Drosophila melanogaster: one gene and its partners. The protein of the gene in region 1 interacts with the protein of each later gene in a pairwise test. Each region holds a gene or a part of one and is shown on either strand. Other genes may lie near its edges.

Evidence for each region.
Region 2: the proteins of CrebA (region 1) and Jig interact in a two-hybrid assay, tested with the Drosophila melanogaster proteins (one large-scale study listed by BioGRID).
Region 3: the proteins of CrebA (region 1) and CG31955 interact in a two-hybrid assay, tested with the Drosophila melanogaster proteins (one large-scale study listed by BioGRID).
Region 4: the proteins of CrebA (region 1) and croc interact in a two-hybrid assay, tested with the Drosophila melanogaster proteins (one large-scale study listed by BioGRID).

Annotation. Positions count from the first base shown.
Region 1 is NT_037436.4:15,532,153-15,541,511, forward strand, and holds the start of CrebA (Cyclic-AMP response element binding protein A), read left to right. Parts: upstream 1-3,242; 5' UTR 3,243-4,249; coding exon 4,250-4,303; intron 4,304-9,359. UniProt on the Drosophila melanogaster protein: Transcriptional activator. Binds to fat body-specific enhancers of alcohol dehydrogenase (ADH) and yolk protein genes. BBF-2 may play a role in fat body gene expression. It binds the consensus sequence 5'-T[AC]NACGTAN[TG]C-3'.
Region 2 is NT_033777.3:14,557,678-14,565,036, forward strand, and holds Jig (Jig), read left to right. Parts: upstream 1-3,257; 5' UTR 3,258-3,304; coding exon 3,305-3,781; 3' UTR 3,782-3,844; downstream 3,845-7,359. Other genes in the region: CG14854 (uncharacterized protein), read right to left, coding at 1,584-1,959, 2,025-2,113, 2,219-2,257, 2,314-2,370; CG14851 (uncharacterized protein), read left to right, coding at 4,685-5,143; CG8087 (uncharacterized protein), read right to left, coding at 6,677-7,105.
Region 3 is NT_033779.5:3,711,381-3,719,116, reverse strand, and holds CG31955 (uncharacterized protein), read left to right. Parts: upstream 1-6,250; 5' UTR 6,251-6,334; coding exon 6,335-6,619; intron 6,620-6,671; coding exon 6,672-6,848; 3' UTR 6,849-6,891; exon of another isoform or gene 6,892-6,963; intron 6,964-7,048; 3' UTR 7,049-7,236; downstream 7,237-7,736. Other genes in the region: lectin-24A, read left to right, coding at 1,389-2,237; CG2818 (uncharacterized protein), read right to left, coding at 2,609-2,728, 2,814-2,960, 3,013-4,470, 4,626-5,024; cutlet, read left to right, coding at 7,499-7,736.
Region 4 is NT_037436.4:21,470,997-21,480,156, forward strand, and holds croc (crocodile), read right to left. Parts: upstream 5,484-9,160; 5' UTR 5,199-5,483; coding exon 3,672-5,198; 3' UTR 3,137-3,671; downstream 1-3,136. UniProt on the Drosophila melanogaster protein: Required for the establishment of head structures.

The DNA of each region.
Region 1 (9,359 bases):
AAATATTACGGCAGATAAACAGGCGGGGGAAAAGCGGACAAACAGACACCTACATACATCTTCCAGCACCAACTGAGCTGTATCTCTAATTTTCCCGCAAAAACACACCCATTTATCCACAACTCAACTGTCTGTTTGCCGTGATTCACAAATCAAATAAAATATATATATATAATATTAAAAGAGAATAAAGAAAAATGCACGAAAAAGCGTTGTCGTCGGTGGCGAAAAGTATTTGTGCCAGCCATAACCCATAAGATACAATATCTCTTTCTATATATACTATATAACTGTAAAATCCACTTGAAGCCGCAGAGAGCGATCGAATCCGGCAAGCAAACTAAGAGAACAGTTAAGAGAGGCGCGCATTATCTCGCTGCCTTGCAAATTAGGGGCGGTGTTGGGGTTGGGCTCGGGGTACGAAAAACATTGGGAATGGCCCGGCCCGGCCCGGCTCGAGAAGAAACCCCGAACAGTGAACACCAAGCACCAGAGGCCAGAGACGCAGACTGCGGCAGCGAGCTATGCGGGTTCAAATGCGGCCAGCATGACGAATTATTACACACAGTCTCGCGACTGGTAAATGAAATTTAATGTACACTTGAAAAAAAAGGGATTTAAAGTGCACAAACAAAAATCATATTTAAAAAAACATCATATTAACCATTCAAACATTCAACGCTATTAAACAGCAAGGAAAACAGAAGCTTATCTAAATCGCAATGATATCATCATTTAAAATAAACAAGAAATCTTCACAGCCAAAAAGACGTGGATCTACAGGTAATATTATTTTGAAATAACACGATCGAATAGATAGAACTAGATTTTGAATATTACTTTGACATTTGAAACGAAGTTCAACTCTACACCAAGCTGCATAATAGAATAGGACTGATCTGATCACACTACTTTGAATTTAAAAATCTAATATAATAATCTAATTTAAAAAAATATTTTATTTCCATAAAGTGAATAAAAAGTGAATAAAGTGAAGTTATTTACTAACGGAAACGATTCGACAATCAATATAGGCATGTTGTCCGAGCTCAAATCCCACCCTGGCTCACAATCTTTTTTATTAATTCATATATATTTGTTATCAAAACTACAAACTGTACATTAAGCTTTCAGATCTTTCGATCTTGATGTTAAGTAAAATTATCAATAATGTCCTCTTTCTCTCCGTGTAAAATACAAAACACTCGCACACTTAGTCGATTCATGGGGCTGTTTATACACTCACAATGCACATTGATGATGTTGTTGATGGGATTGTGATTCAAGTATGTGCGCGTATATACACAAAATTTTGAAACAAGAAGGGAAAGGCTACCCTTGCAAATTTACCATAAACCTCTTAAATTGACACCGAGAGTCAATTGATGTGAAGCCATGGAATCGATCAACTTTGACAAGATCATCTTAACCTTTTTCCCAATTAGAAAGTGTAACGAAATGTTTTTGGAAGTGAGTGCGAACAAAACGCTCTTCTCTATATCGAATACAGCGCACAAATATCTGTGTCATAATTCAGGGAAATCCACTACGACCAAACGAAAGGAGAAATCAATGTACTCAGCGACGAAAAAGAAGGGCGCACCAATGATCTGATCCCTCTCAGAGGCGTCTTGTTGGCCCAGCCAATTTACTATGTGGTGTAAGCCATATTGGGGATTTTCAAATTTGAAATTTTTAAATGAATACAATAAAATCACGTCAACAAACAAGAAATTAGTGGCCGAGAGCTGTGTGTATATTTTCAGCGGGGGTATACATGACGTGCACGGAGCACGGAGCTATAGTCATATACCTATGCCTCTCCATATGTATTACACAAGCGTTTTTGTGAAAACATCGCCGTTGTCATCGTCGTTTGTCTGCGCTGTATCTGTTGCCCGGGCAGCTTTAAACCGGATCTTTGGTTTGAAAGTACATTCACTTTGCGTCGTCGCCGTCGTCGCAGCATTGCAGCAGCAGCAGCAGCAACAGCAGCGACAGCAGCAGCAGCATAAGTCCAGGCCAGGCCCCAAAGATCCCCACAGCCATATCCATATCCATAGGCTCTGGCTCTCAAAGATCTCCGAACAAAACTCTTGGCTCCCAGCTCCGGCAAACAGCCTTCAAATGACTCGGCTTGGCCCGCCTGTGTTGGAATGGCCCGACTCTCTATGGTCTGCACATGTGCATAGTTCAAATAACTTGGTCAAGTTGACAAGATCAACGGAGCGAGTGTTACCAAGCGGCAGCAGCCAAAGTCGGGTCTGGTTGCAGAGCGGGGTACACCCCCCGTCCTATTCCATCGTGCATTCGGGCCAAATCAAATACTCGCAGCAACAACACAAAATCTATAATAAAAAACAGGTTAACAAATGTTGCCGCAACGCTGACGTCGACGCAGCCCATAGCGTCGGAAGAAACTTGTTTTCCTTTCCTATGCGGCTCCGGGTCTCAAATCTCAAATCTCGGGCCCCTGGTCTCCGATCTCCGGTCTCAAAACGACGTCAAAGCCGGCTTACGACAATCAACTTACATTCACTTCTCGAAACCCCAAAGAGCGTGAAAGTTTCACTAAGAGCACGCTTTTCGGGAGAGAGTCGGATACTATCGCATTTGGATTCGGATTCGATGCCGGCTAACCCGCATGTTACACAGTATCAAGGGTAGATTGGTGGCCAAGAACCATGGGAATACAATATTTGAAATGTATAGTACACGGCTTCAGTCTTCAGTTACAACTACCCCAAACACGTTAAGAAGTCAATAAATTCAATTAAACTATAGCAAATGTAACATAAGGTATGTGATTAGTTGACCTTTGGGAACGAAAAGCAACAACCCCAAACGTTTCCCGTAGATTAACGAATCAATAACACTATTAACACAGGATATTAGAAATACGATGTTATTTTGTAGCGATCTTTTCAAATTGAAAGAGTATATTTAGGCCATTTATTGTACCTTTTCTCTTCTCATTTTAATGAGGAAACATCAATTCATCATATCCTTAATTTAAATTTGTTATTTTTTTTATTACAAAAGTATCAATTGTTCGAGGTTTTCTGTATGAAATTCTGAAATTGCCGGCATTATAAGCGCAGAGAGAGAGAGACAAAGAGATAGACGGAAAGAGAGCGCTATACGTGCGGAAGAGAGACAAAGCGTTGTAGCGGAAAAGAGAGCGACTGAGCGGCGGCAGCGACGTCAGCAGAGGACTGACGTTTCGATTCGTTCGTTCGCATTCACAAGAATTTCACCGACATTTAGTTTAGTACCGTTTTTGGCTGCAGTCGCACTACGGACAGTTTATTCTAATTGTGTGCTACCATCCCATACATCCAAACATACAAATATTATTGCTAAAGTTAACGATATTAACTACACATATTAAATGCTATTATACACGGGCCGAGCAAAGCCATTTCTAAAGCGGTTTACTGCCCATTCACACACAAAACACATCAAAAAATTCAATTAAATCAATTGAAATCGTAATCGAGTCCAAAACACAGTACAGCGAAAAGAAAAATCAAATAAACTAAAATTATATGGTTATCAACGTTGAATCTAAACATACATATAATAACTATTTTCTATGAAAATCGAGTGTTTCGTTTCCGAATCGGGAAAAAAGTTAATAATTCAATTAATGTTAACGCCAAATATAATCCGACGAGAAAAGCGCATGCAACAAGTTAAATCCAGCCGACAGTTGTAAACCAAGTTAGATCCGTACACAGATACACCCCAAATACCACAACCAATACGAATGAATGCCCGGTATACACATACAAACGAAAAAGTCACACACACACACACACACGCAGACTATAACAATGTCAAGTGAAAACATTCTCTGGAAGCAACAGGTTTCCCCTTAATAAGTGTTATAAAGAAGCAACCAACAGTCATCACCCAGAACTGTTCTTTACGGAAAAAAAGTAAAGTAAAAAATAAAAGAGAAAGAGAGGTAGAAGAGCGCACGAGGAATAAAGAAGATAAAGTATAAAGAAAGAGAAAGAGCGGAGAAAGAGCCACTTTTCAGTCAGCAAAATCGTATAAAAATAATAGTATAATACCATAAACTACAAAAATTATAAGAAGACAGTTCTTAAGTGGGTTAAAGTAGAAAAATTAGTGTGACTGCAACCGAGTGGAACCGAATTAAACCATACCACACCATCCCCGAACCGCAATAAAAAAAAAACAACTAAAAGAGTTCTTAGAGCGCATCTGACTAGCGCCAACCATGGAATTCTACGATGGCGACCTCAAAGATATATGGGACTCCGACTTAGATCCGGTAAGTGTTCAAATTACCACTCCCGAGCACAATTAAAAATGCGAAAAGCAACTTGTACCCCCATATTATATCAGTCAGAACAGAACCATTGATACTTGAGAGCTTTTATTACAGCAGGTATGCTTGATATGGGCTATACGAGTATGTGAAAGTTAAAGCCGACAACTCGAACGCAACGATAAGAAAATGTCCGAGATATACATTGGTAGCTCTTATATGTATATTATAGCTCACTAAATTTTATGTGGCAATGCCCCAACTAAACTTGGTGAACTCCTTGAACTTCGATCTTTGACTACAGAGACATCTTCAATACGATTATTAAGTCATTTCGGTGTACATTTTAAACATGCAAGAGTCGTGCTTCCACGAAACGAAATTGCATTTTAAAAAATCTAAAGAAAAACACTTTAATGACCCACATTAAGCTTATCAGTTGGGGAGAAAAAACGTGAACTTATTCATGAGCTGAATTCTAAGTATGATGATCGATTTGAGAAAAGGAAAATGAAGAAACGAATTTCGATCTCCAGGGTCCCACGGAATTTAGCCAGTTTTCTTTTCTTTCTCTGCATATTAAGTGGTTCGCATTTATATGTATATGTATGCGATCACCTGAGAGAATACCGATCACCGACAAACTGGCCTACGATCAAACCTGTCCCAAGCCACCTCATAAAAATGTCCGCTCACCGCACCACCAAAATTTCGAATGTAAAAAAAAAAAAAATAACCGTATAGTGAAAAAAACAAACCAGAATCTAATCGAACTGCCCGGCTTCCAGACATCAGACACCGTAATATACAACACACCCAGAATCACAGTTTTGGTTTCATTTTCGTGGAGGACGTTCTTGGATTGCCGAACCCAATGGCATTACTCAATAGAAAAACAAAAAAAAAAAAACTTTGCCAAATAGATACGACCGATACGACCGAATCAAACAAACCCTCTAGTGCCGAAAGGAAAAGGCAGCTTTCAAGGCTTTTTATCTTGGCAGTTACGTGCTCGTTTTGGGAGAAAGACAATTTTTAGTGACTTTTTGTGTTCGAATATATCAATTTACATGGTTTTTTTTGATAAGCGACTGCGACTATATCTGGCATTCAGGAAACATTTCTGTTCATAACTTAGAAGTTTCGCTGTCCTACAAAGTTGTTTTGTCTTGGGTGGCGATAATGATAATTGAAGTTTTCCAAGAAATTAAAAGAAATTTATCATTAGCGAACGATTTCTGTTTCGGTTGTTTTGTCGTCGTAGTTCCATTCACTATCACCCCCGCAACTTGAACTACTCGTCGTACTGCAATCGTGAATTGTTTCAATATAATGAAATGAGTATGTGCCGGGCTGAGCTTCATTTGCGGAGTACTCATAGATGGAGATGCCGTCGTCTATTGCTTATCGCTGCGGAAACAGTAATGAATACATGTCGTCCGCCCGTCCATTCAGCCCAAGTCCGTCCGTTTCACTTGTTCTTGCTGTTGTACACGGTAAAAAAAAAAAACAGATCAAAATCAAATTTAGTAGATACTTACAATAATTGTATCAGTTTCAATTAATAACGTCGTTTTTTTTCGTACTTAGTGATTTTTTCTTAGAAATGGTCCGGGTTCAAGTATAAATAAATAAAATGTTTTTCACTTTGATAAAAATTAGCTTTAAAAAGCAACGGATTCAATACAACAAAAAAATTGTAATACATTTCAACGTAATTTAAAATTTCTGTCGCTTTCTTTATAACGATAAATTTGTATAATATGTTTCATAAATTTTCGCTCTCAACTTTTGCGCGCTGTGTAGAGGAAGCTCTGCTGGGCGAGCACAAAAGAAAAGAATCTATTACAGTTTGGGAGGAGGACACATGTGGAGTTGATAAGAGGCTGCTATCAGCTGGTCTAAATGCAAAGTAATGACTTTTTTCGCCTGCCTGCCTGCCTGCTGCTGCTGCTGCTGCACTTTGCAGCTAGTCAAATAGAGTATGGCTCGTCAGTGTCATTACTATTGGGAGATAATAAATGCGCGCCGGCGACTACTCGACTTGTAGACAATGTAGCCGGAGGGACAGAAATAGGCCCAATGCCCGGGAAAATGCGCGTGCAGTTTTTATTGGTTTTGTTGCATTGCGTTTTTTCCCGCCGTAAGCGGTACAATGTACCCGTACCCGGGGCGTGCGCTCAATTACCTCATAAGTATCTCAAATGCCTGTGTGTGCCCATAACAAGAAATTATCGGTTTCTGTGGGAAGTCGCCGCCGTAATACCCTCCAAATGGTCTGGGAAGTAAGATCAAGATCGCGGTTAGATATCATCCATGGCTAGATAGCTGAATTCCTTGAAAGATCACATCCAAAAGCGTTTGTTTTGTTAGCTCGAGCCTATCAGTATTCTATTTTGGCATTATTTTAATAATATAAACTATCATTCTAAAGTCTCTTCAAGCATATCAACAATCTTATCTCACCGTATTTTGTAACCAAAAAAATAAAGCAAAAAAAAAAAAAGTAAACTTGCGCCCAGATAAGGCCTGAAATGCCCAATTTTGATTAGCCTTAGCGCACCATTTTTCACTTAAACTGTTGACAAAAATAAAAATAAATAAATAATAATTATGATGCCATGGGATTTTATGTTCTTTCGTTAAACCAAAACAAAAAACTCAAAATAATGACTTGACGGGTCGATAATCAATTATATTAAATTGGCAAGAGGTTTCCGAAAGGCCACAAATTGGAAAGTCCCAGTTGGGGTTAGCTCGTCTTCAGAGAGACCAGTAGAGAGCGATAATGTCACGTGCCCTGCATTTCCGAGATTCCGATCGGTGTTATCAAGAAATCCCCTACCATTTCATTCAGAGATCTTTGAGTGGTTCCCCTGACTATCCGTATCAGTTGGGAGCAATGAAGAGTTGACACAGCAGAATCTGTAAAGCTCTAGAAAAACAGACGCATACAATATAAACATATATTCGCCGATCGGGGGAATTCTGTGAAAATCGATTGGCGGTGGAAAAACCAACAACAATACTTACGATGATCTCTGTGTAACTGGTTATTCAATTTACGAAGAATACAGTTTATGAGGCCAAACAAAGCGTTTCCAGTGCGAATAAAAATATCAATGTTTCAGCTTAACGACTTTTGATTGTGGTCCAGTCATGATAAGAAAATATAAAATCAAATTGTTTCTGTTCAGCGCTAAAATTACTGCTGAAATTTTCACATTTCGTTGATAAGAGTAGCAAGCACATGGAAACAGAATGCCTAATTAATGCGGACTTAGAAACGAGCTTATCTTCTCAATAGCTAAGTAGAATTCGCGCACTTATATAGGCTAGTATGTGAGAAAGGGTTGTGTCTCGAAAGAAAGCGAAAACAAAGCTAAGTTTCGAACTAGAAGTTCTCAAGATCGTCACAGAGCTGGCCTCGAACAAGAAGAAGCTCTGCAATCGAAACAGTAGACTGCCGGAAAAGATTGCCTTGAACAAAATAAATTGCATTCGCCTTCAGAGAAGAATGCTGACCAATGTCGAAAATCATCGACTTACCGAAATTTTATTTGTTGGTCAAAACGGAAAGAGAGAGGTTAAGAGTTAAAGACCGAAACAGAGGGAAAAAGTGCAGCATTAACAAGAAGACCAGAAGTCAGCAACTTTTCACCACTTCCATTGAGATACAAGCGAAAAAGGCAAATATATGTATATATCTGACATTTCTAGAGCTATTCTTTTTTGTGTGCCAACTTTCGCTTATATAAGCAAAATATACAAAAAGAAAAAAAAGTAAAAGGTGGCGGGGGCGCGGGGCATGCATAATGGTATTAGCAATTTCTTTTCGCCCAATTCGATACCCTTTATGGTCTATACACTCTATATAATATGGCCTGTTGCCTGGCCGTCGAATGCAAATGTGCATTTCGTTGAGGTTAGACTGAGATTTTCTAACGGCCAAATGCAAGGCCCGCTACTTAAAATGCACACGAGAATACTACCAAACTCCAGCGTCAAGAAACGGAAATCAGAAAAACGTGCTTGGCAACAGGCTGTGTCGGCATTTTGTTAACTTCGATAGCTTAATGTCTTGACTCTCGGGAGCATATTTGAATAACTAGTTCGAGCTATGCACGTTAGATACTTTCAATATGGTCTATCAGTCGTCTGTATATCTCGTATATCGCGTATACGCCGCGTTGTTCGGCTATACGCTGTACAGCGTATTGTGTATTGCTTAACTTTGACATTTCCAATGAGCCGGAGCGTTGCAATCTGCAAAACAGGTTAAAGCACAAAGCGAATGCAAAGAAACCCAGCGACGACTATTGCAAATTTAGCTCGCTCCAGCGACACAATTTCTATGCCAAAAGTCCAAACATATGGCGAGCCAGCGAAAGAGCAAAAAAAAACCCGAGGCAGAAAAAAAAGCGCGCATAATTAAATTTGTGCCCCCACACACATAGTATTGGTTTACATGTGCGCCAGTCTCAATGGCTCCACTCTCTCTTTCTCTCCCTCTCTCTGTAGATATATATGTATATATATATATATATATACTATATATATATACATATATATAGTTTCCCATTCATGTCGGCCATTCATGCGGATTTACACGCGCTGCGCGTTGCAGGATGCGCAGCCATAGTATGTCCACGCGGAAAATCCACTCTTAGCTTGCTCTTTTCGACCGGGTTTTCTAGTTGTGGTAGCAGAGCTCTCTTTTGGCCAAAAGAGTGGGCGGCCTTTGGGCCATTTGACCAGCTGTTCGCGCTTTGTTTTGTTGACGTCAATGTCAGGATGTCGAAGGAGTTGACTTGTGGCCAAAGCCCCGAAGAGCGTGAATTATTCATGGACCCGTTCGGAAGTTACAATATGTTACAGCTTCACCCCCACTCATCGAGGGGGTGGACTGTGGGGATTGGGGAGCTGGGGAACTGGGCGTGGGCGCTGCAAACATATTGCCAGTGCTAATGAAGTGCTACACGATAAGTGTAACAGCAGGCAACAGGCAACAGGCAACAAGGAAGCAACAGTTAGCTGCTTCTTGTGGGCGGAGAAACAA
Region 2 (7,359 bases), on another chromosome or scaffold:
GACTGGCGCTTCGTTGATAAACGGGGGGGTGGGCTGCGATTCAGACTGGAAATTGCACGGCAAAGTAAATAGCAAATAGTATATTTACGCGCCGCTATACATTTTTAGTTTCGCCCTTCGAATTACGTTTTGGATTATGCAAAAAGCGGGTTGAGTCGAACTGAACTGATTTCGATTTTATCCTGTGACTGTTTTACAACCGGCGGCAATTCCGTTTGCCGCGAAACGCGCACGCACTTCACTACTGAAAAGCAGCTGCTGCTCCCAGCTGCTGGGGGCGTGGCAGAGGGCGCGCGGGGCGGTGGGTGGGCGGGCGTGTCGAGAAACGGCCTTGCCCGCACGAGCTACGCAGCACGAGTACAACTTTAGCACTGAGCAGATAATTCTGTGCGGCACGGGACCGGACCGTCACTGTCGCCAAACACAAATAACAATCTATCTCGGGGAGAATCTCTCTCTAACTCTCTACTAAGGTGCTCTCACCGCCTGCCCAGCAATCTCTCTGGCTCGGTCTTTCTCTATGCTTCTCCGAAATTTTTGTGGGTGTGCAGCGTTTTGGAGCTTTTGTTCCTGCTCCGGTGCTCCGATTTCGCTGCTCCAGTTCGCCTTGGCGCCCCGTTAACAACTGAAAACCGAATTTATACCGCCAGCAGCAGCAGCTGGGCTTTGTTTACTGTTATTTGGCACAAGCCTCTCGCTCTCTTTCTGTCGGAAAGAGAGTTTTCTCTGTCAGCATTGAGTACAGTGGCTTAATATCCAATGTTGGCGTTTTTTTAAGTTTTCGGTAGTAAAGTACTAAGTACTAAGTGCTAGTTAGTTACTATACAGTATTTTGTATTGAATACGTGTAAAATATTTAGTTGTCAATAAATTTTATTTTTGTTTGCAATCTGTCTGCGGTTTGATCCATATAGCTTTAAAAAGTTTGTAATAGGTGGAGAACAATTTTAATTGAATAACTTGATTTTTGTATTTTTGCCGTAATATGCCCACTGTGCAGCGTGGGATCGGCGCAGGCGCCGGACTTGGCCTGGTCTAGTCTTTTGGCCGTCAGTTGTTGAACTAAAAGCCGCATAGTTGTTGCTGTCAGAGCTTCCTAACTCAATCTGGGGAAGCCGTGACATTGAGTAGCCAAGGGGAAATGTTAGTAGACATTGGAAGTAAGCATAATTTTAGGCGCTGTTTGTTTGACTTGTAGTCAAATATGAGTAATACTTAGTTTACAAGTTCTCCGATGATATAAATCAGATGGTTTTACTTTTTTAAAAAGAGTGCACTTTCTCTGTAAAGCTCATTAATTTATAATAAACATTATCAACCCCATCTACAGCAAGCCAACAAGTCGTATACGCAACGTACAAATTGCATTACTCGTTTATTTGTATAATTTAGTTTTTAAATACTTAAAACATAAAAATACGTGAAAATTTATAAGAGTTGAGATATTTAAAACGGATAATTGAATGTTAAAGAAAATTAATCTCAATTGCACTTACTTATGCACTTATTTTACAATTGTGCGTTTAATTGTCTTTTAAATGTCGAGATGAATGAACAAACCGCCGGATGACATTGCACCCCACTCAATAAAATTCACTTAATTTGGAGCTAGCCGGCTCCGCTGTTGTGGTCTCCGCTTGACCAACTCCCTGCTCCTGCTGCGGATCAGTCTCCCCCTCAGCATCTGCATCCGGATTGTCTTCCGCTTCCGTTTCCGGCTCGTCCTCCGCCACTCGCGTCCCATCGTCACACACGTTGATGGGCTTGCGCTCCAGCAGGGGGCGTGGCAGGCGGCTCAGAAAGGCCGAGCAGTAGGTGCGGATGTTCTCGCACTCACCGGGATTCCGCTTGACCACAAACGCACACGTCTGGATGATGTCATGCAGCGTATTGTCCATGTACTGGAACACCAAGTGCTGCTCCTCCGCCTCGCCATGCGTAACCACTTTCCCATACAAACTGCCGGCGGTGGAAATGAAAAGCCAATTAGTGGAACACCAAACACGCGCTAAAGTTCATCTCACCCAACTGGTTTTCCGGGAATATTCATTTCCACCTCCTCATATTTGCCAAGTACATAGTCGAATCGCTCTTTCGCATCGCTTTCCTCCATCTGTGGAACAGAAAATAAAGTGTGTTTAATCAGGAGGACTAGCAACTATAGATTGTGTTAGTTCAAGTTAAATTGTGTTTTTAAATAGACCAGTATCATACTCACATCTTCAATGCAGTGATTGGGCGGAATGCAAATCGTAAACTAAAAATGCATTAAAAAATTATAGGGTGCAAAAACAATTTACACAAAGTACTTACCACATTGGGTAATGAAATAATTCCCAGGCACAGCAGCAGAGAGCTAAACAAATCCATGGCTCAACCGTTCGCTGATCAGCTAAAAGCGAAACTAACTGAAAAATCAGAGCTGGTCAGCGCATCTACGTTAAATTGCGAAATATGAATTTAAAATATTCACGCTCATTGTTCTCGCTTCGCTTGGATGTAAGATGTGACGTCATGATAATTATAAAATAAAACAAAACAACCAAACAATTGGGAAGTCATAAAGTAAATCTTACACGCGAATCTAAAATTTAAACATATTTTGTACTCAAATAAAATTTTGATACCCGCAAATAAGGGAAATTAACCCAGTGCGAGCTTAAAGTGCAAAATACTGCTATTAACTTTCTGCCTGGTAGTTTTCTGCATTAATATCTGCCTTTATTTTGTGCCTGGCAAATGGAAAGCTGCATAAACTAGCATTCAATTATGTATTATAAAAAGAAAACCTTTGGATTTATGCCATAAAAGCCATGAATCTAAAACAGGGGATTATTGTACCTAAACAAATAGCATATTAACTATTTATGGACTTGCATCCGCCGCACTTAACAATCCCAAATGATTGAGATATTTAATGGACTCTGAAGATGGGACATCCCTGTGATGTACCTTTAATAACTTTAATAACTACGCCGATCAGGGTAAGTTCTGAGTGAAGAATTCGGAGAAATAAGCCAAAAGTCGATAGGAACAGCTGAATAAATTTGGCAATTATTTGTATAAGATAAACGTATTGAACAAGTATATATTTCCAACAAAAGTCCCCACCAGCAGATGACAATTGGTTAGCTATCATCTTCTTGTACAATTATATAGATACAATAGATATCAAAAAAAAACAATCATTTGATAGCACCAGTTGGGTAAATTTGCATATATTCTTTGGTTTTATAAGTCACCTGGAATCATCACAGCGGTATATAAGACCGTGCTACCATCCGAAGACACCATCAATCTGAAAATGAGGGCCACATCGATCATCTTATCAGGAGTTCTTGTCCTGGTCGCTTGCCTATTGAGGAGTAGCGAGGCGGTGACCTGCACCGCCGACCCCAATGTCACTGGATGCATCGACTGCACCACCAGTCCAAGCGATCCGGAGTGCGTGGCTGAGGCCGCTAATACCACTACGAAACCCGCAGATGGAACAGATACCACGACACCCACCACAGGAGGAAGCACCGATGCGACCCCGGCGGGATCTACAACGCCTACTTCGCCAAGCGGCACTGTCACTCCAGCTCCGACCAGCTCACCTAGTGACTCCACGTCGCCCAGCGACTCCACACCCACTTCAAACAACGCGGCTGCTGTGGCCAGAAGGAGGAGGAGGATGGCGGCCAGGAGGCGCGCTCAAAGGAGGAGGCGTGCACAAAGGAGGAGGGACCAGAGGAGGAGGAGGGCCCAAAGGCGCAGGAGGCAAAACCAATCGGGCTAAAGCCAACATTCGATTTTATAAAATTTAAAAAAAAATACTAAATAAAACCTATATTCAGCATCCAACAACAAAAATAGTTTGAACAAATTTTTAAGAGTTCGCTGTGTAGAAATAAGTATATTGTCTTCAAACAAAGGAGAAAAAATATTATTACAAAAATTAAAAATATCTCTTCTAATTGGTACTTTAACGACAACGTGAAGTATATCTCTTTGAAAAAATTTTTATTGGGTAGTTAATAGTTTCACCTCAGAAATACATAATAATTAAAACTTTATTTTGATAAAATCATTTGTTTTATGTATAAAGAAAATCTATTTCACAAATAAGTTCAAGTCTATTTCTATTCTAAAATAATTTTGAAACCATTTAAACTAATTGTATTGTACAACAAACAAACACAACCTTCAACCGAAAAGCAAAAAACTATCCACAGATGGCATTGATCATCTTGTGGGTACACATTCAATAGCAAATAGTGTACAAGGCAAATATTAAAGAAGAAGTCATCCATTTCTAATAACATACATACACTTAGGAAAAAATTCACCATTTTTGACAAATTTTAAGTCATGTATATTTCGAACTGATGAGAGTTTTATCATATATGAATACAAGTCAAACCAGGCTTCAATCAGATAAATTAAAATATACTCATTTTCTATTCTTGAGTAAATAGGTGAAACTAGTTCATTTCTCAACTTGGATTCACAGCCGATAGTTTACGATTTGGCAGCAAACAATGTCTAATATTTTATATGATCGTATAGAAACAGCTGCGTACATATTAGCGAAAATCGCTAGATAGGAAGAGCGCCCCTTGACCTCGATCAAGCCACTATAAAAGCCTAACCAAAATCCGACATCACCATCAATCAACAATCCCCAATCAACAAATCCACTATGAGAGCAGCAACTATCATCTTCGCCATTCTCGTCCTGGCAGCCTGCCTATTGAGGAGCAGCGAGGCGGTGACCTGCACCGCCGACCCCACCGTCACTGGATGCATCAACTGCACCACCAATCCAACCGATTCCGAGTGCGTGGCTGAGGCAGCCGCCGCCACATCCACCACAACCACAGTGGCTCCAGCAACGAGCACCGTTGCGACCACCACCACTGCGCCAACGACATCAAGCGGAACCGGAACCGGAAGCCGAAAGATCGTCCGCGTTAGCAACCTGCGCTACTCCGTCAACCGTCGCATTCGGATCAACACCACCGCTCGATCCACCAGCTCCAACGGCCGCTCTGGCAGGCGCTCCACCAACACCAACAGGAACCGCAGGCGCAGGAATAACAACGCCAGGCAAGGCAACTCCAGGAGCAGTCGCGGAAACGTTCGCGTAGTAGTTGGTTAAAAATGGTTAGAATGTTTACAATTGTAAAACTGTTTATCAAATAAATATATTTGAAAATTAAATCAAACGTTTGTCTATTATTGTAAAACTGAGAAACCCAATCGAGTGATTAGATTTTATTAAAATAAAATTACAATTGAAATGGTTGTTTTCCTATTTGAATAAAGATATATACATATGTAGATATTTCATGATGATATAAATAAAAAATTATATTTTTATAAGAACCAATGATAAACTGATCTTTTAATTTAATAATATCTCTTATTTCAAATTTACAAGTCGACGTCTGATCTACTAAAATAATGGGTAATTCAAGTTGAGTCAAAAAGCGTCATCCAAAAAGTATGCTATATGTCTTGCCTTGAACAGTTCTACGATTAAGCACTACTAAAAGATCAACACAAAATCACAAAAATTAAATACCAACTCAAGAAAACCTTCTAGGAAGGGCAGTTTGGAATAAAAAGGGATCTTTCAGAAATAGCGCAGAATTTTATTTAACAATCAAAGCTGTAATCTATTTGAAAATGAACAACACTTGACCTTTTTCCAGGGAAACGTTCACTGACCACCATTTGCGGTGGGGGACTTCAAAGTGGTACCACCAGCCACGCATTCCGAGTTCAAGGGATTCGCGATTCAAACGACTTTGGAGCTGAATCCCTCGGCTAAGCCTTCCACGTTGTTGGTGGAGAAGGTCATGCATCATGGTGCAGTCGATGCATCCCACGACGGTGGGACCGCTAAGATGCTTTCCAGCAGGCAAGCTGCCAGGATCAAGACTCCAGAATAGAAGATCAAAGCTACTCTTGCAATGTAGTTGATTTAAGTGTTAGCATCGACATTATATATGTATATATATAATATATATATATATATCATATAGCATATCAATTAAATCGAATTATTGACACAGCTGTTTCGACTTTTTGCATTGTTTTCTCCTGTTGTTTGATGAGAATTTAGAAAAATATGGTCTTACATTTTTTTTTTTGGCTATAAAGCTTTGTTATTAGAAGAGAGCATTATCTACTTCTCCAACAGGTAAATACATTTAAACCCAATGTTACCGTTTTTCTTAACTTTCATAACACTGTTTCTACAAAATAATACCTATCTTGACCTTCTATTTGTAAGACAACAGAGTTATATAATAGTTAAATTACCAATTTTTAAAAAGTTTTTATAGTTTTTTTTTAATGTTTTTAAATTTTTGGTTTCCCCTGCTCAATAAAGTTCAAAGTTCTGTATGTGTGATGTGTTATTTCATTGGGTTAAGGTGAAGAAATCGTCAATAACTCCTTAATATTATAACGTACCCAAATGTACCGTCTATAATTTTAAATGCTCTATATGCACTGGAAATTTCTCTGTAACATAACGCATTTTAAAATTGGTAAGATTTTGTTAGAAGCTAAATCCCTGTTATACCCAGCCAAAAATTGAATACTTCCCAGAAAATTGGATATAAAATAAAATTTACTTCTTCAAATCCATATCTTGTTGAGCATTTTATTGAATTCCGCGTACTTAGCCGACAACAATAACGTTTCCATTGGCCCGCCTCACGTTGACACGTCTGGAGTTGTTCCTGCGCCTCCGATTCCGGACGGTGGTGCTCCCCGATCCATTCCGGTTGACGCGGATGCGCCGAACGTTGGTGTAGCGCAGATTGGTGATGCGCACGATCTTTCGCCGTCCGGAGGAAGTGTTTGTGCTGGAGGCCGCAGTGGTGGTCGCCGTCGCTGATGTTGTGGTGGCGGTGGTGGTGGGCGTTGCTACAGTTGTACTGGTTGTATCGGCGGCTGCCTCGGCCACGCACTCGGAATCGGTTGGATTGGTGGTGCAGTCAATGCATCCTGTGACAGTGGCATCGGCGGTGCAGGTCACCGCCTCGCTGCTCCTCAAAAGACAAGCGGTGAGCACGGAAACAACGGCTAGAATAGTAGTGGCCTTCATCTTAGACTTTCAGATTTTGGATTGCAGATGGTTGGCGGCAGTGGCTTTTATAGGCAGTTAATTCCACGCGACTTTTGTACTCAAAGATTATTGGCAAATTTACGCAGCTGGTTCCTATACATTTTGCATTATTTTCCCATATTGTTTGCGAAAAATTCGCACAAACGATGGGCTGGAGCAATACACTCTTATACTTCGTACAGATGTATTAATGATACATGTATTAATGATACATACAACATAACTGCGTATAA
Region 3 (7,736 bases), on another chromosome or scaffold:
TGGTGCACATATATGTACGTATATATTTAGCCGCATTATTTATTCACTTCTAATGAGCGGGGGCCAACTTGTAAGCTCCCCTAGAAAACACACAATTTTTGGCCACAACCAGAAGTATTTAAAATGGGTTTCGGCATTTTTCTTCCCACCAACGATATTTTTTTAACCGACTTTCCTTCCACCAGAAAGAACATTACACGCAAGTAAAGTAGTTAGAAGGTGGCTTAACTGCCTCCTGTGGGGAAAAGCTGGGGAAATGGGGGGTGGCGAAGGGAAATGGAAATGGAAGGGGTGGTGCACACACAGTAGGTCAGGAGTGTTTTGTAAGTAGCGTGTTTTTGTTGTGGTATGAAGTTGCCTGCCTCGGTTAACTTGGCGTATACTTGATATACACACACACAGCAGGACATACACGTGTGTGTTGTTGTCGCGCACGCATCGATTTTTCCGTTTTTGGTGTATCACAAACTTCCTTATTGTCCGCCACCGCAGGATCGACTTTAAAGGCTGATGTTAAGTAGAACTCCTCAACCTGCCCCGATATATACCCCATAGTCATTCGCCGTGGAAGAAAACCATATTCATATCCATATCCCTGTCCCGCCTTCTCAAATTTCTCACCCATTCTCACCTATTCTCTCATCCTGCGGCCTCGTTGCGCTCTGCCCATAAACATAGTTCCGATACTGGGGATTTTGGGGAGTCTGGTCGCAGGAAAAGTCGGAAAATCACAGGAAATCCAATGTTTCGGGCTTGGTGAAAATTGCGGAAAAGGGGTAAACTAAATCGAGGACTATTTCACTACTACACTACACTCGTTCGCCTTGTGGGGGCGCCTCCTTCCACTATTTTTCTTTCTTTCCGGGGAGTTGGCCGTCCGATCTCTTCGAGCGCGCGCGTTCCGAACCGTTCGAGGCGATTTAACAAACTGAAAAGGAATCCGAACAAACCGAACCAACACCGATGAAATTTTCATGCTCTCTCTGTGGAGGGATGTTGATTTGTTTTTCATCTCAGAATCGAGTGCATGCGCAGTGTCACTCTTCCATTTTTCATTTTCTTTTGCTCTGACATTCACTTGAGTATGGCGCCAATGTGCAACACTGCGTATGAGTGATGTAGAAAGCCTTTTCAAATTTCATATTTAAAGAATTATTTAAAAAATTACTTTTAATTCGTTTTGATAATATTTAAGTAATTCACAATATTGTATACATAGCAACTATTTTTTACTGAATAGTTTTTTAAGTAGAAACACAAGACTGAAGAAAATAAAGCAATCAAGTAATTGATAAGCGCCTATAGAAACGTATAAAAGCAGAAAACTCAGTCCATTTATGTAGTACTACAAAGCTGTTGATATTAAACGCATCTAAATAAATAAAATCATGTTTAGATTGTCAGTCTTAGTTCTGAACTTACTCCTTGTTAGCCATGAATTCTCGGCAGGAACCGCGAAAATTGAAATTCAGCCATTACCTGCCCTATGCAACGGATACTGCTTCCCCACCCTGAAGCCAGTTATGGAGTATGTTGCTATCCACCAGGACAAATGGAATACTTGTACGGAAATATTAGCGAACGAAGCCCGCAAGGATCAGATCCAGTTGAATATCCAGCTGGATGCCTTGAAAGCAGACGTTTCCAACATAAAGGCATCGCAGCTGTCAAAGGATGAGAAGCTGGACAGGATGGAGCGAGAGCAGTTTGCCATGCATGAATCTTTGGAGACCATCAATCGGTATCTTACAGTGAAACTGGACAGAACGAAATTGCAGCTTGAGGCGATCAAAAACACAATGGATTATATGAAGGCCCAAATGGATGGCTATTTCTCAGCCATAAATGGAGTTCAATGCCTACAGCCAGGATTTGAGAAGATAGGCGATAGATATTTTTACATCGAAGAAGATGTTGAGCTAAATTGGCTGGATGCTCAGGCCAAATGTCGTCGAATGGGAGGTCACCTAGCCTCTATAAAAACTAAACAGGAGTTTGACGCAATCGTAGAGAAGCTCGATGATTCGAAATCATACTTCCTGGGCGTCAACGAAAACACAAAAACCGGTGACTTTGTGTCTGCAGCCTCCGGAAAAAGTTGTTTGTATCACGAGTGGGGTCCTGGTGAACCCCATCACAATAATGACCAAGAGCGATGCGTTTCAATCTTGCGAAAACTCATGCATGTGGGCAATTGTACTTATGAAAAAAGATTCATATGCCAGTATGGCATCTAGCCAGTTAAAAACCAAAAAAAATCAAATCATTGTGCATTTTGAAGATTTTGAAAATAAAACAAACACTTTCCATTGTTTGTAAAAGTTGTATTTTTAAAGATTGCTGGGAACGTAAGTACTGAAGTACAGAGCAGTTTTGTTGAAATAGGAAACGATAAAGAGACACTTAAAGGTTCCTACGTTGGTCGGACAAATTTTAAGTAACTTGTAATAAGCCTATTTATAAAAATCAAATGCAATTAGCTAAGTGGCGAAATGAAGAAATGATAATGACCGATTTAATAATCTGATGAGTTTTGGTCCAAGCCGGGCGGTTATTTTCGTACATAAAGATGAGTATAAAATAGTCGAGCAGTTCCGATATTCAAATTCTATGCCTGCTGCTCCTCGTTTCCGTCGGCAGAGGTGTGCCACACATGCCCCATTTCCAGGGCCTGCAACTTGAGCAGTTCCTTTTGGCTGTCCTTGGCCTGAAGGTGGAACACACTTTGCTGGGGGGAGATACAAGTAAATGGAGTACAAAGTTAATGATAGCATATATTAATGCTTTGTTTGGCAATTAATTCAAGGACTCACCTTGACCTCCTTGGTGGTCAGGACATCCATTTTGTCGTAGATGATGGCGTGCAGGCCGAGTTCCTTTAACAGCTTGATGGTATCCTTGGAGTTGTTATCGTCGCCCCAACAAAACAGCACCAATCCACGCTCCTTGGCCAGATTCACCTAAAAGCGTCCGTAGCTGAATGATTCACGATTCGAGAGTGGATCATGTTACCTGACTGGGATCTCGCAGCAGGTCCTCCGTGTGTGCCACAACACCCAGGAACTCCATGGCCACCGCGTGCCACACGGCCAGCTCCATGGAGTTGCCCCTGGGGTCCATATACTTCTGGTATTTCGTCGTCCTGCCGAGAGTTAGGAACATGACAGGGTATCGATTTTGCTTGAATCTCAGAATAGTGCAGATATCTGGATCAAAACAACTCAGTACTATCCTGCGATTCCCTGCCTTTCGTAGGATGACATCCAATATGCAATCGATATAGAGATTTCTGTCCACCACATGCTCGAATTCCTCCTCCATTTTGCCGTCCTCTAGCCTCTGAGACCACTTAATTTCTATGTTGAAACCCACATGGACATCTAGGGCATCCAGGACATCGCATAGCTGCGGAAACGGCTGGTGCTCTAAACAATCATCGTTGTGAAACGAACGCGTCTCCCTGGACAGACCCTCAGCAATGTGATAGACTTTCAATTTCTTCAACTGCTCCAGGGACAACTCCCTCATCGGTAGAGCGAGGAAATCGTGCTCCTGCAGACTGCACTTCGACTTTAGTGAAACATAGATCATGAAATCGTGATACACCACTGGCACCAGATCCTTGCTAAGTTGGACATCGAACTCCACCATGTCGGCACCATGCTCTGCGGCATTCTTCAAAGAAGTAATGGTATTCTCCCGAATAACAGCGTCCTTGGCCTTGAAACTAGTTCCGGAACCACGATGGCCCACATCCAGTCCCGTCCACTTGCTGTTCCAGTATCGGGCATAGCTGACACTCATATCCATTAGAGCACACAGCGATGAGGGCTTCACGATAAGATAACCAAGACGCATCATTCCCAGAGGTCGATGGCCCTTGGCACAGGTTATGGGCAGCTCCAAGTTGCCTTCAGAACGTTTAAAAAGATTGGGCAGCACATAATGATAGCCCAAGTGGTTCGGTGGACCATCTTCCTTGGCCACCCGGGAGCTGTAGCTGTACAAATCAATCAGGTAGGCCGTGTTCTCGAAGTCTCCAACGGTCAGATGGAATATAACCAAATCGGTGGGTCCACAGCCGGTGCCGAACTGCTCTTGACTTCTGATTTCGCACTCGTCGGCACTCAAGGTGACGACCTCGCTAAAGGCAAAGGCTGTGGAGGATTCACCGCCGTTCTCCTTGGTATCATGAGTGTCGTTCGACAAGGAATCCTCCATGGGAGACGAGGGCAGCATGGTATCACAGCCGGCACTGGGAATACTCAGGTTCATGGGCGTCACTTTGACCTGGATATGCCTACGTTTCATGCGCTGCTTAAACGTGAACGGAGCATAAAAGAACTTTAGCTGCACCAGAGTCTCCTTGGTCAGCCAGCCCCGATCCACCTTCTCCTGGCCATTGAACGAGCCAAATATGTCACTCTGATTCTTGGCAGGCTGCTCATCCAACTCCTTGACTATTCGGGGCTGTAAGGAAAGGGAATCTCTTAGCAATGTTATTGGGCTAGCTCCAAACCATGAATCCCATACGAGTGCATACAAATCAAATCCGATCCCAGGTCCAGCTGGATTTTTGGACTCTACTCGTATAGGGTCGGTCAGTACATAATGAATTTGTGAACCTGTAATTGCGTTTCCCAACGGCGGACAATCAGCTGCTCCGTGCCGGGATCGACGGCACAGACCATATAGCGATATTCCGTGTCACAGTGACGCGGAATATAGATCTCTCCTGTCCACAGATTACTATACTCATTGTCCTCCTCATTTTTGGACAAAATAGCCGCTCCCGAGTGCTGCCAGTTGCCCAGCGCCTCGCAATTACCCACTATGGCCAACTGCTCGTTGGGCGCCAGATCCTGGTTCATCAGCACCCGAAAGGTCCACAGTCTGTTGGTGGTAATGTCGCCAAAGATCCGGCGGGACTCCAATCGACTGCCGTTTTCCGAGGACGCAGGACAGGATGATGGCGCAGCCATCGCATCCTCATCGCCGTTATGTGAGGCCAGCCAGTTGTGCATTCTGTGGGGATGGATAATAATTAATATCTATATATAATCCTTAGCTATATACACTTTGAATAATAGTAGTTAGCAGCAAAGAACTAAACTAATTGTTGAAACTCAGTATAATTGTATTGTATTGCATGCGCACAAGTAATTTATGCCAACTCTCTCTTTTTTTCGAGTACTACTGTGCTCGTTAGCGTATACGCACTGTACTTCAATTATTTTCAGCTGCGGTCACAAGTTGTTTATTGTATCGAGCGCAAGTAATTCGAAGATATTAACACAACATTAATTTCACTTGCAGTCCGCAATTGTTTTTGGTTTCCCTTATCAGTGGATGACGTAAATAAATAACTTGTATCACTTACTTTGCGTTGTTGTGTGCTGAAATAGAAGAATAAGCCGAAATCGCTTTGTTTGGATTCGATTTCTCGCTCTCCTCCACTTTCTCTCTCTTTGATTTTCCTAGATTTTCTGTGATTTTCCTACGCGTACACGAAACTATAACAAACGTGTGCAAATTGAGGAGTCGCCCGATTTTTTGATCATAGCAGCTGTTTTTGGTTTTTGCTCACGGATTTCAGCTAACAACACATGATGTTTTTCTCTTTTCGTGGCGGGGGGGCTTAACTCTATAATGTGGATATAACTTTATATTATCTGAACGATTTCAGCGCCGCAGGGGCTTCCGATCCCCTTGAAACTGTGAGTTGCATTATTTTGTTATCTATATATCCACTGACCGATTCTAGCGAGGGATGTGAAAAGTATTTGAATGTCAAGATATCGATAGGTTTTTGATGAAGTAAATATTTTCACAATGCTAAATGCCTAAAGCACTTAAAAATAGTAGATGCCTTTTTAGATATATACTACATACTACTTACTTACACGCACTTAAAATACAAGTTTTATATTTGATATTTGAGCGCATTCTCACAGGTTGGCAACGCGAACAGCTGATTTTTAGGGTGACCGTCTTCCGCAACAGAGTATCTCACAGTTTTCGAAAAGTATCTCAGCAATTTAGGCAAAGTTTCTGAACTTTCAGTTACTACTTAATAAAAAGTTTGTTGGTTGTTTACCTAGCTCAAGAGATTCTTTCAGATTTAATTTAATAAAACCGGTAGCTTAGGATTATAAAATTAACTTTGACTTTATTTAATGTCCCTCCCGCGCGAATGCAGCTTAGTAAAAATGAGTCATAGTGTTCAGATCTGCCTACATTCCAGAAGCTTGCAGTATTCAGTAGACATCAGTCGAGCGCAGAAGCTCTTCGTGATAAGACGTCTTCAATTCAAATTTTTTTTATCGAACACACCATGGAGGGGGACAAGGTAGTTTTTCATAGTTCTGATCTACCATACGAATATTTATACGACGACGAAAAACACGTTTCGCACATGCCGGATTCCAAATTAAGTGTACGAAATATTTTGGATTCAGCTTACGCTTCTGCTGAAGGCAAAATTATAACTAGGAAACTTTCGCGCAGCATTCCGCCGTATCCGCATGCTGTTCGAGTAAAAAATGGCATTCGTGTTTATGAATACAGTGAGCCCAGAAAACAGAGCTACAAATCAAGTTTATGGAAGGAGGCCTACAATGTGAGTAGGAATCGAAGAACACATGCTGGACATTTTACTTGCTTTATTTCAGATACTCCACCAGCGGTTGGATATTGCCGAGCCAATCGCAGCAAAGGAACACGTGAGAACGCAGATACATCCGTGTCTGCACAAGATCAAAGGACTTCTAGATCCGGAAACCTGCATCAAGTGTCCGCGGTGTCATAAGTCCATTTCGTCCACCAAAGTTGTGAAAAGCTTTGCATAGTGACGAATGCAAGCCACCTTCAACATATATATCTATTATAGAGGTTCAATATATGCTCAAATCAACACATGCATTTATATATATATATAATATAAACAAAGAATGCAACAGCCCTACAGATGAATCGTCATTTTCTTCTGTCATTTTGCTAGCTGTAATTAAAAGGGAACGGGAAATGTGCTCTCGCTTACTGATTATAGATAATGACTTTGATTTTGAAATAAGGAATGCAAAGAATACTCATTTTCGTATTCACTTCCATTTTGGCGGACTTTCTTTATCAGTAAACAAAGTGGAAGAAGAAGAAACGAGAAAGGTAAACAAGTCAATACAAAACAGTTGTTTGGAAAATGTGCCATAGTTACCAAGTGCCTGCACCAATTTTAATATCAAAACCAATTATTGAAACTAGTTATATAAGTATTTTTATTTACATTCAATGCATTTATAAATAAAATAAATCAAATAATTTAAGCTTACTAAATCAATCAGCTTGTGACAGCCATCACTTTGATAACGATAGTTGGCAACTCTGCCATCGAACAGCTGTTAATGTTTGCCATTTTGGCGCGAAAATACCAGTGTAACAATTTGTTTATATATAATAGGATTTTATTAAGTTGTTTGTTGGACGCTCGTTTGAAACCAGTATGGATCAGTATCCGGACGAAAACGAGGAGTTCGAGCTGCAATACCAAGACGAACTAGAGCTGCTGGAGGACTTGCCGGACGAGTTTAACGCGTACGATGGACCGAGCACATCCAAACAGGCCGCTGAAAAGCAAAAGGAAAACAGAGCTCCCGTTGCGGCACTAAGAGATAGCACCCGTCTTGGAAACTCTACACTGGGATCGCCACAGCTGTCGCAGATTACCTTTGGAGCTAGCC
Region 4 (9,160 bases), 5.9 Mb from region 1:
CGTAAACTCCACTTTGGGTCTCTCTAATCACATTTTCTCTACACTTTTCATTTTATTTATAATGTATCCCTTCGTTTAACTTAATTTTACTTGAATTGCGTAGATAATATTTTTTGGATGATTATTTAACATTTTTGTTAATCATAATAAATATATACCTATTCATATCAAAAGGTACAATGAAAGGTGTACATTTAGTAGTTTTCTTGCTTTTTATTTATATTTCACTTAATAGATGTTGATGGCTTCCTTCTTTGGCTAGATTACATTCTTGCCACAGTTTTCTCAGTGTGATTTCAGCATTTTCTCGCTGTAAAAACGCACGGAAACTGTGTTCATTAATTTGTGTGCCTTTTTTCCCACACCCAATTACAAATGTCATCCGCCAAGTGGGTGCTGCAAGTGAGTATGGTTATTAAACCGGCCAGATATGAATTTACTTTAGAGCCATTGTCTATTATGGCCTGGTTAATTGCGGCGACAGCTGGCAAAACAACGCCAAACCGTGCAAGAACAACAACATCATCATCATCACCATCGCCATCATTGAAAAAGCGAAGTTGTTGTCACCGCGGCAATTGAGCGTCGACCACTGGAATTTATTGTTATAACGGGGCAATGATAACAGGTCATCAACACAACTGGCCAGGTAAATAAATATCAAGGGGGTCAGGGGTTGTATAGGAAACATACACACACAAACATACATAGGTGTGAATGGTGGAGGGAGGTGGCGCTGAAAAGTCCGAAAAATAGGCAGCGTTAATTACAAAGGATCTCCCGCGGGGCCAAGTCATAGTCGTAGAATAGATACATTGTAACCGGTGGATACGAAAATCCTTGTGACTGCAGCACATTTGGCAGCTGGCCGGCTAATACTTGCATTTAATTAGGCTTGCAACAATATTTATGTAAATCGGGCTGGTTGCGCGATGAGCCACAGAGACAGCTGTCAATATTTGTGAGCGGCACGAACGACAACCATTCCGAAAACCATTCCGCCCGTTTTAGCTCGATTGGATTATTGGGCATTTGGCATTGTTGTCCTGCGAGTTTCCCTGCCTGTGTGTGTGCGTATCGGTGTGTGTGTGTGTGTGTGTGTGTGTATGTGGGCGCGTCCTTATCGCTAAGCAAACAGTGCAACATTTTGTCGCCATCGCATTTATTTTTCTTGTCCTCCGCCTGGCGTTGCGCTACAGAGGATTCCCTATTCCCTATTCCCGATTCCCGAATCCCAATTCCGATTCAGTTTTGTAAATTCTGGACCACCCGCGCAATCAGCGACGGCTGCACTCCAAGCAAACATACAGCCACTTTTCCATCCAGACTCTTTTTGTTTTCGCATTTAATTTTGTTGCTTTTCACACCGAATGGAGACTCCGGATGGCATCGAATGGCAGTTTTGCTGTCAACCGCCCAGCCGACTGTATTTGCTGCCAAAAGTGCTGAATTTGCATACCAAACTCGTTCCCCTACCGATCAGCCAAATATTCAGATTGAAAATATTGAGCTTTTGGATACGAATAGCCTAGTTTATTGAGATAGGAGATGCCCCTTTTTGGCTGCCAGTATTTGGGGATATGTGAACATTCTAATCCATTCCAATAATTAAATGTAAATAATAATATTAATGATCAAGAATTTAAACATTTTTCGGTACGCTACAAATCCTTTTCTTTCATCTCTTAAATGTAGTTTGCTTTTAATGGTGGTTCCAACTATAAATATTTTTTGTTACATTTTCCAGTTTGAATTGGCAGATACAACCAATATCGCTGCCCATTTGATTTTGAAAATTTCAACCATCTGACCAAAAATCAAGCCCTTCATGCTCAGTGGAGTCTTCCATTCGAAGATTACTTTCAGGCCTACTACAGTCTTTGGCACACTTTTGGCTGGCACTCGAGCGCCATTCACATGCCACCCAGCCAGGTATTCCATTGTTGGGGCTACGAACAGCTAGCCAAACCTATTGACTGACTGGCGTTCGAGCGGTGTCCGCCATTGAAAGCAGCCGTCCCAGCTGCGAAGCACCTGAGCGGAGATTGGGCCACAAATCGAGAGCCATACAGATACACACATGACCAGATTTCTTCCCCGAGTGCGATCTCAATGCCGCGGTGGCGCCAAGCGGCGCTCACTCAAGTGACAATGTCGTCGAGCAGCCTTTATTGGAATAAATCCAAAGCCGAGTTCCGAGACGAGACCATGACCAGCTGCCCATCGTCATCGCCAAGTTAACAGCGTATTTTGGCCATCAATCAGTGGCGCTTCATCTGCCGATCTTTGGCGTTGGTTGGGTAACTGGTTACTTCGCTGGCTAATAAGCTCAACATACTGATTTATTCGCACTCACTCACGCTGCGCAGGCTGGTGTTTTACTTTCTACCAATTTGTGGCAATTGTCTGGCAATTAGGAGCAGCTACAGTGTTCCCTGTGGGGGCACAGTTTTCTTAACTAAAGATTTGTAATTTGTTGGCCATTGTTGGACGGCAACCTTAGAGAAAGCTAACATTTTCGTTTATAAATGACACTTTTAGGGGGGAATAATAATATAATTCTTCTGGATACAATACGATCTTGTCAGTTGCCATAAAGTGGCTTAAAGGATCCTCAATTTCAAGTTTTTAAGCAGAAAGAAGCTCAGACTACACAATCTAACAGTGAATATAATATTATAAATACTAAAGTTACCCTTTTTTGTAAATACCTTTCGATAGCTAGTCGTGCATATGAAGCATACAATTTCCTGGAAATTTTCATTTATTATTCCAAAAGGTCGAATGCATAATTATTTCCACTGAAAGGGGGGAAGTGTTTTCTATCCGATCGCTTGACAAACGACATATGTCCACGTTTGCAAGTCCATCGGAACTGCAGCCAACTGATCGAGTGAGTCCAAATGATATGATACGGCTACCCAGAAAGCCATCTTCCAGTGACAATTGGCCAGTTGAGTCATGCATTCGGGGCTCGAAACGGACACGCCTTGAATAATTATTTATCTAGGAATTCTGCGTGCGGGCTATCCAGTTTCGGGGTAAAAAGTCTGTTTTGCCAGCCAAATGCTCAATGGCCAGATGGAATAGCGAAAGTCGCTCCGAATATGAAGGGGCCAAATAAAACACACGATTTGAGATATTTTAACATATTTTCAATACACTTTTTGTTCGGCTCATATTGGTGGTACGCTAGTTTTGATAGTTATGTTATAGCTACGATTTAGTTGTATAATTTATTATTGCTTACGTGGGCTAGGCTAGTGTACTAGGCGATGATAGATCGATCCGATGCGGTAGTTTTAGTTATTGACAAAATGCTCTAATTTAAGTTTATGTTCTGTGTAGCAAAACCCCATCACAAATTGCGTAGCAGACAATTGGGACTATGCCTAAATTCGATAACAATTACGAGCTACAATTACAAATACAGTTAATACAATACAATACGTTAATGCGGTTGCTTAACAGCTATGTCCCCCATTATTTCGTATACGGATAAATCGAAAACAAGTTGGAAACAAAAAGATCTGAGATAGCAGACTCTGGACCCCGAGGGATCACCACCCCCAGGCTGTGTAGACTCGTTCTTGGGTATATTATATGGTGTATGTATTTACAGGAATATACAAGAGAGCCCAGCCCAGTCGCCGAGAATCCAGCCCACAGGCTTACACCCCGTACTTGATGCCGTACTCCTGGTAGTGGCCCACATGCGGTCGGTAGTGGCTCAGATTGCTCAGCTGACCCAGCTGGCCCAGGTTCCCGCTAAGCGCCGCATGGTGATGATGGTGGTGGTGGTGGCTACTGATCACCGCCGCCGCTGCTGCCGCTGATGCCGCTGCCACGGATGCGGAGGCAGGTGGACTGGCGGATTGTAGGCTGCCGGTGGGACTACCGGTGTCCAGTTGGCAGGATTGGTTCTGCTCGAAGATCATGTCGCGGAAACCCAGTGCCGATGTGGGACTGCTGGTCAGCACGCTGGAGGATCCTCCACCGCCACCGCCGCCGCCTCCGCCACCGTTGCCCACTCCATTGTGGTTGAGTACGCTGCTGCTGTTGTTGTTATTATGTCCCGGGTGGGTGGGTGTGCCCTGCTGCCCATTGTGAGGAACGGGTTCCGATGGTGGCGTTTCCGGGGTATACCAACCCCCGTGCGCGGGACCATGCGGAGTTGAGATCGTGGTGGGCGAGTGTCCGGACGATTGGCCTCCCGCTCCTTGGCCGCCGGGGGTCAGAGGATGGGCCACGTGCGCCACATGACGCTGCAGTTGCTGGGCATGATGGGCCGCCGCAGCGTGGTGGACATGATGCATCTGACTGCTGGCCACCGTGGCCAAGTTGTCCTCGTTCAAGTGGTAGGGATAGGCGCTGTGATGGATCCGCGGGTTGTACACATTCATGAGTGAGTCCACGGTGAAGCCGGGATGCTCCACTCCGCCGCCAGCCAAGTGGTTCATTTGGGCCAAGCTGTCGTGGCAGGAGTTGAGCATTGCGGCATGGGAGACCTCCTTGCCACTTAGACAACCCAAGTCCATTAGGGGCTCCTTTTTGAAGTGGGCAGCATGGGCGGCCATGTGCTTGGCCTCCAGTATGCCGTTGGTCATCAGCTTGAGGGGCTTCATCTCGGCCAGCTTCTCGTTCATCATGGCCTGCCGCTTGATGGCCTCCTCCTTCTCCCGCATCACATCCTTCTTCTTGAAGCGGCGACGCCGGCGAAGGAAGGAGCCGTTGTCGAACATGTTGTAGGAGTCCGGATCCAGAGTCCAGTAGGAGCCCTTGCCGGGCTTCTTGTCATCGCGGGCCACCTTCACGAAGCACTCGTTGAGGCTAAGATTGTGCCGAATGGAGTTCTGCCAGCCCTGCTTGTTGTCGCGATAGTAGGGAAATCGCTCCATGATGTACTGATAGATCCCGTTCAGGGTCACCTTCTTGTCCGCCGCATTCTGGATGGCCATGGCTATCAGGGCGATGTACGAGTAAGGTGGCTTTACAATCTCCTTGTTCTGGTGCGGGGCACCCAGGCCGTAGGCGCTGGCCGAGTACGGATAGCGGGAGTACTGGTCGTATGCGTAATGTGCCGCTGCTGCAGCGGAGGCGCTGCTGGCCGCCGCCACCGCGGATGCGGATCCGTAACCGGCTGCGGTCTGGGCATAGTGGCGCGTAAAGGAGTTCTGGTCGCTGAATAACGTATGCATGGCGGCGATTCCGGCGGATTTCTGATCGATTTTCCACTGCCGCCTTCTGGTATTTTCGTACTCTCTTGCTTTTGTCTTGCTTTCTTTCTCGAACTTAATCACTTCACCACTGGCTGCTTCTTATTATTTCTAGCGATAATATTTGCTTAAACAAGTCGCTCACATAAGTGCAGATATATAAATCTATATATATATATATATATATATGCATCTATTTGTAGTACAGGGGAAATGGGAGCGCAGAGCGAGCGCAGAACCGTTCGGTATAGTAACACGTCTGATACTGAATCTGTGTAACTGAAATAACACACAGCTCGCATCGAGCAGAAGCGTTTGCGTCGGCAGAGCGTCGCCCGCACCAGAAAGTATCTCGATCCGCTGCCGCACAGTATCTGTGTGTACCCGCACAATGTATCCGTATCTGCATGTGTATCTGCAGCCAACCAACGATGGCTGCCACTCGCAGTCAGTAAGTGAAGTGGGCCCGCAAACACAGCTGCGTCGAAAGTATCTGTGTGTGGCCAAGAGAAAGAGAGAGAGAGAGAGAGAGAGAGAGAGAGAGCGGACGCCATTCATGCTTTCTTTTTTGTATAGGAAAAAATAGTTAGCTAGCTACGGTGTGTGTCCTGTGGGCACTCCTCCCCTACCCGTCGCTTTTCCAAGCCCTTGTTTTTGTTGTTTAAACTAATGCTTAAAATACGGCCTATCGCCCTCTCTCTCTCTCCCTCTCTCTCTCTCACTTCCGCTCTCGCTCGCTCCCTCTATCTCGCATTCATGATATACTAGATACAATGGTAGTAAGAGCGAGCGAGAACCACATCAACTATGAGAGGCACCTGGGAAAGCCAACAGCACAGGCACAAGTGGGTGGAGGTGGTGGTGAACCAGGGGCTGCAAACGAGCCAACCACCCACTTAACTCACCCTTCCAATGACTTCGGCATAAATTAGTGATAAAGTTCTTTCGATCTCAGCTTAAAGTTGTTCGTCTTCTCGGGAGAGGCAGAGACCAAAAAGTTGCCTGCTAATTTGCAGTTTGATGGGTTTTCGCCAAGATGTTCAAGTTAAGGGCCACGTTTGAAGGTTGTTTTCGTTGAGGGCAAGGCATTAAGTTTTTAGCAACTCCCTTTTTCGGGCGCTTGAATTGACAATGGTTTTTTTGGTGTGCAAAGGGCAGGAATTTTTCAGGCTTATTTAAGGTAAGAATTTCAAGAATACTCAGGATATTAGACAAACATGTTTTCCACAGTTTTTCAAGAACTATTGTATCACCCTATATATAGGATCCTTATATAATAAAGATTCATTAAATTGTTGTTCATGTTAAAATGTCCTAAAAAAGAAAACCGAAATTTTTCTAATATCTAAAATGTATCTAATATCAAAAAGAATGAATATATATATGTAGAAAACTTTTCCCTTCTGCAATATTATTATGAAGCGAGTTATTTATTTAAAAATTGCTCTATTGGCGTGATTAGTTTAAATCAGAGATAATAATAATTGAACAGTTAATACAAGTAGAGTTTTGTACCATAAATTTATAACATATTAAAATTGCACTTGTTTTTATGTTATCTCCTATCCGCCTTTTGACTTGATACTCATTCACTCCACATTTCCAAACATCGAAAGGGTTACTAACCAATTTACAAGCCAAATAACGATAGAGTCAAACATAAAAAGTCCTTCGGCCTCGTCCTTCCCTCTCGCGACTCCTCTGCTCGTTGAGTCCTGCAGTGTCGTTTTTTTCGCAGACTTCATTTCTATTTTCTGCTTATTAAAACAATATTTTTTATTGACTTTGTCAGCTTTAAAGTAAATTTCATATGTTTATTTGGGCAAGGGCAAGTGTGCGTGTGGATGTGAGTGTGTGTACGCGAGAGGCCGAATGGGATGGGCTGGGTGTTTGTCTGGTTATTAGACACAGGGAAAACAAACACGCACATATTTATATTTGGATAATTTAAAAGTATGCTGACTATTTTTTATTTGTACTTTCCGTGGCTGTCTGCAAAAACCGAGCGCTTTGCATCACTTTAAAACCCCAATCGTCTGGGTAATTGATACAAGAATAATATTTGGCTCTATTAACGCAATCGCATTATTTTGACAAATATTTTTATTGTTTTAACATAATTTTTCGCATGCGATCTGTCGGAGAGGATGAGGCTATGAATCATCGTCATGTGTGTGTCCAGTTGGCCACATATCCTTTGCAGGATGCGAAAGGATGAGAGTCCTGCATTTGAAATTCGAATGAGGCGACTCCGCCGCCGTATGCTCCATTTTACGCACTTTATTTGGCTTCCTTCTGGTTTCGTTCCATATTTTTTTCATTTTTTCCTCTCGAGTTTCAGGATTGCTGCTGCTGATTTAACAAATTTCGTCTTCGACATCGGCGCCGTGATTGCGATTGTATGGGTTTCGCTGTGGGTGTGAGCAGTTTTTTGTGAGTAACTGTCTACTGGCTACGTCTGTGCATTTAGCGCAGTTCATGTTATTCTTACGTAGTTGCCATTGCCTGTCTGTCCGATTCCCCCATCCCCCATCCTGCACAGCTACAGCTGTCCGTATCCGTACTGCTCTGCCACTCCATCGTATCTGTATCTGTATCTATATCTGCAGCCATCCCACTGCATTTGACCTATCTAAATATTGATTTAGTTTCCCAAAACTGCAACTTAACATTTTCTCCGCGAATGCAGTGAAAGCTGAAAGCTGCTTTTATCTCGAATGTAAAAGTTGTTTACTAGAAAATAATGCAGTTTTGTGAAAAATGGTCGTTATTACGTGATATATTCCTAACATATCTTATAGATATAGAATGACCTTGGTCTTGTCCCTTTCAATAATTAAAAACGCGAATCTGCATAGCCCTATGAAAAATACTATCTTTCGTTAATCGATTATGACTCCGAAATATGCCTTAATTACCCAATTAAAATGATCATTAAACACAAATCGCAGTTCTATCAACTTTAGGCCTTGATGGGCGCCTATTTGACAAGCACAAAATTTGTCAATTTGGCAAGCACATTTGCCGTACTGAAATGACAACCCCCCCATAATTTTGGCAAGTGGAAAGCGAGTTTTGGTAGATGTGTCTCGCCCATTTGCCACGCTCAATTTGCTGCAGTCAACGGAACGTTGACACCGCTGTTGACAAGGAGAAGCATTTGCAGAATGAGGAGCAGCCGGCGAAGAAACGAGTGCCAACATGTGGCCGTTCAGTGCCCATTATTAAATTTTAGCAATGCCCTTTTTGGGCAGAACTCTTTCTTCTCTTTTTTTCGGGTGAGTAATCCAAGAATAATATTGATTTTAAAGTGCAGGGGAGTGCAACTAATCAGACACTTGAACCAAGGACTTAAGCAGCCAAAAAAAAATACAATTTTTTTTCGTTGGGAAGGACAGGAAAGGAAATGCAGGAAAAATGCTGATAAAGCGGTTTCGATCTTTGAAATAAGCGTCACTCACACGCACGCAGAGAGTAAAGTAACGCACACAGATACACGTCGACACACAGATACACGCATACGAACGCACGCTCCGCTGCTCTCTCTCATGAATATGCAACAATTTCTCTTTCTCTCTGCCAATATGAGACAGGCGGCACACAAATACACTCGCAAAAACGACTGCGCAGAATTGAGAAGGGGGCGTGGCCAGCTGTGGAAAGGGATGCAGCGATGGCGTTGCCTACAGTTCGCTCTCTCCCTCGCACACTGCAGTTTCCGGTGGCCACAAAACTTGTAGATACTTCAACCCGCACCCCCTCGACTTGTTTTGCGTTTTGGTTTTTTTGGGGTGGTTCCAGAGTTATGGTTCGGAGTCTATATTGGCCACTCATTAAAATTTATGATTCGTACACAGTTGCGGGCTTATTATGCATATATTCTCCAATTTTTTTTCCGCGACTGCTCTCTTTGGCCAGACAATTTAGCAGATTAGTTGCAGACA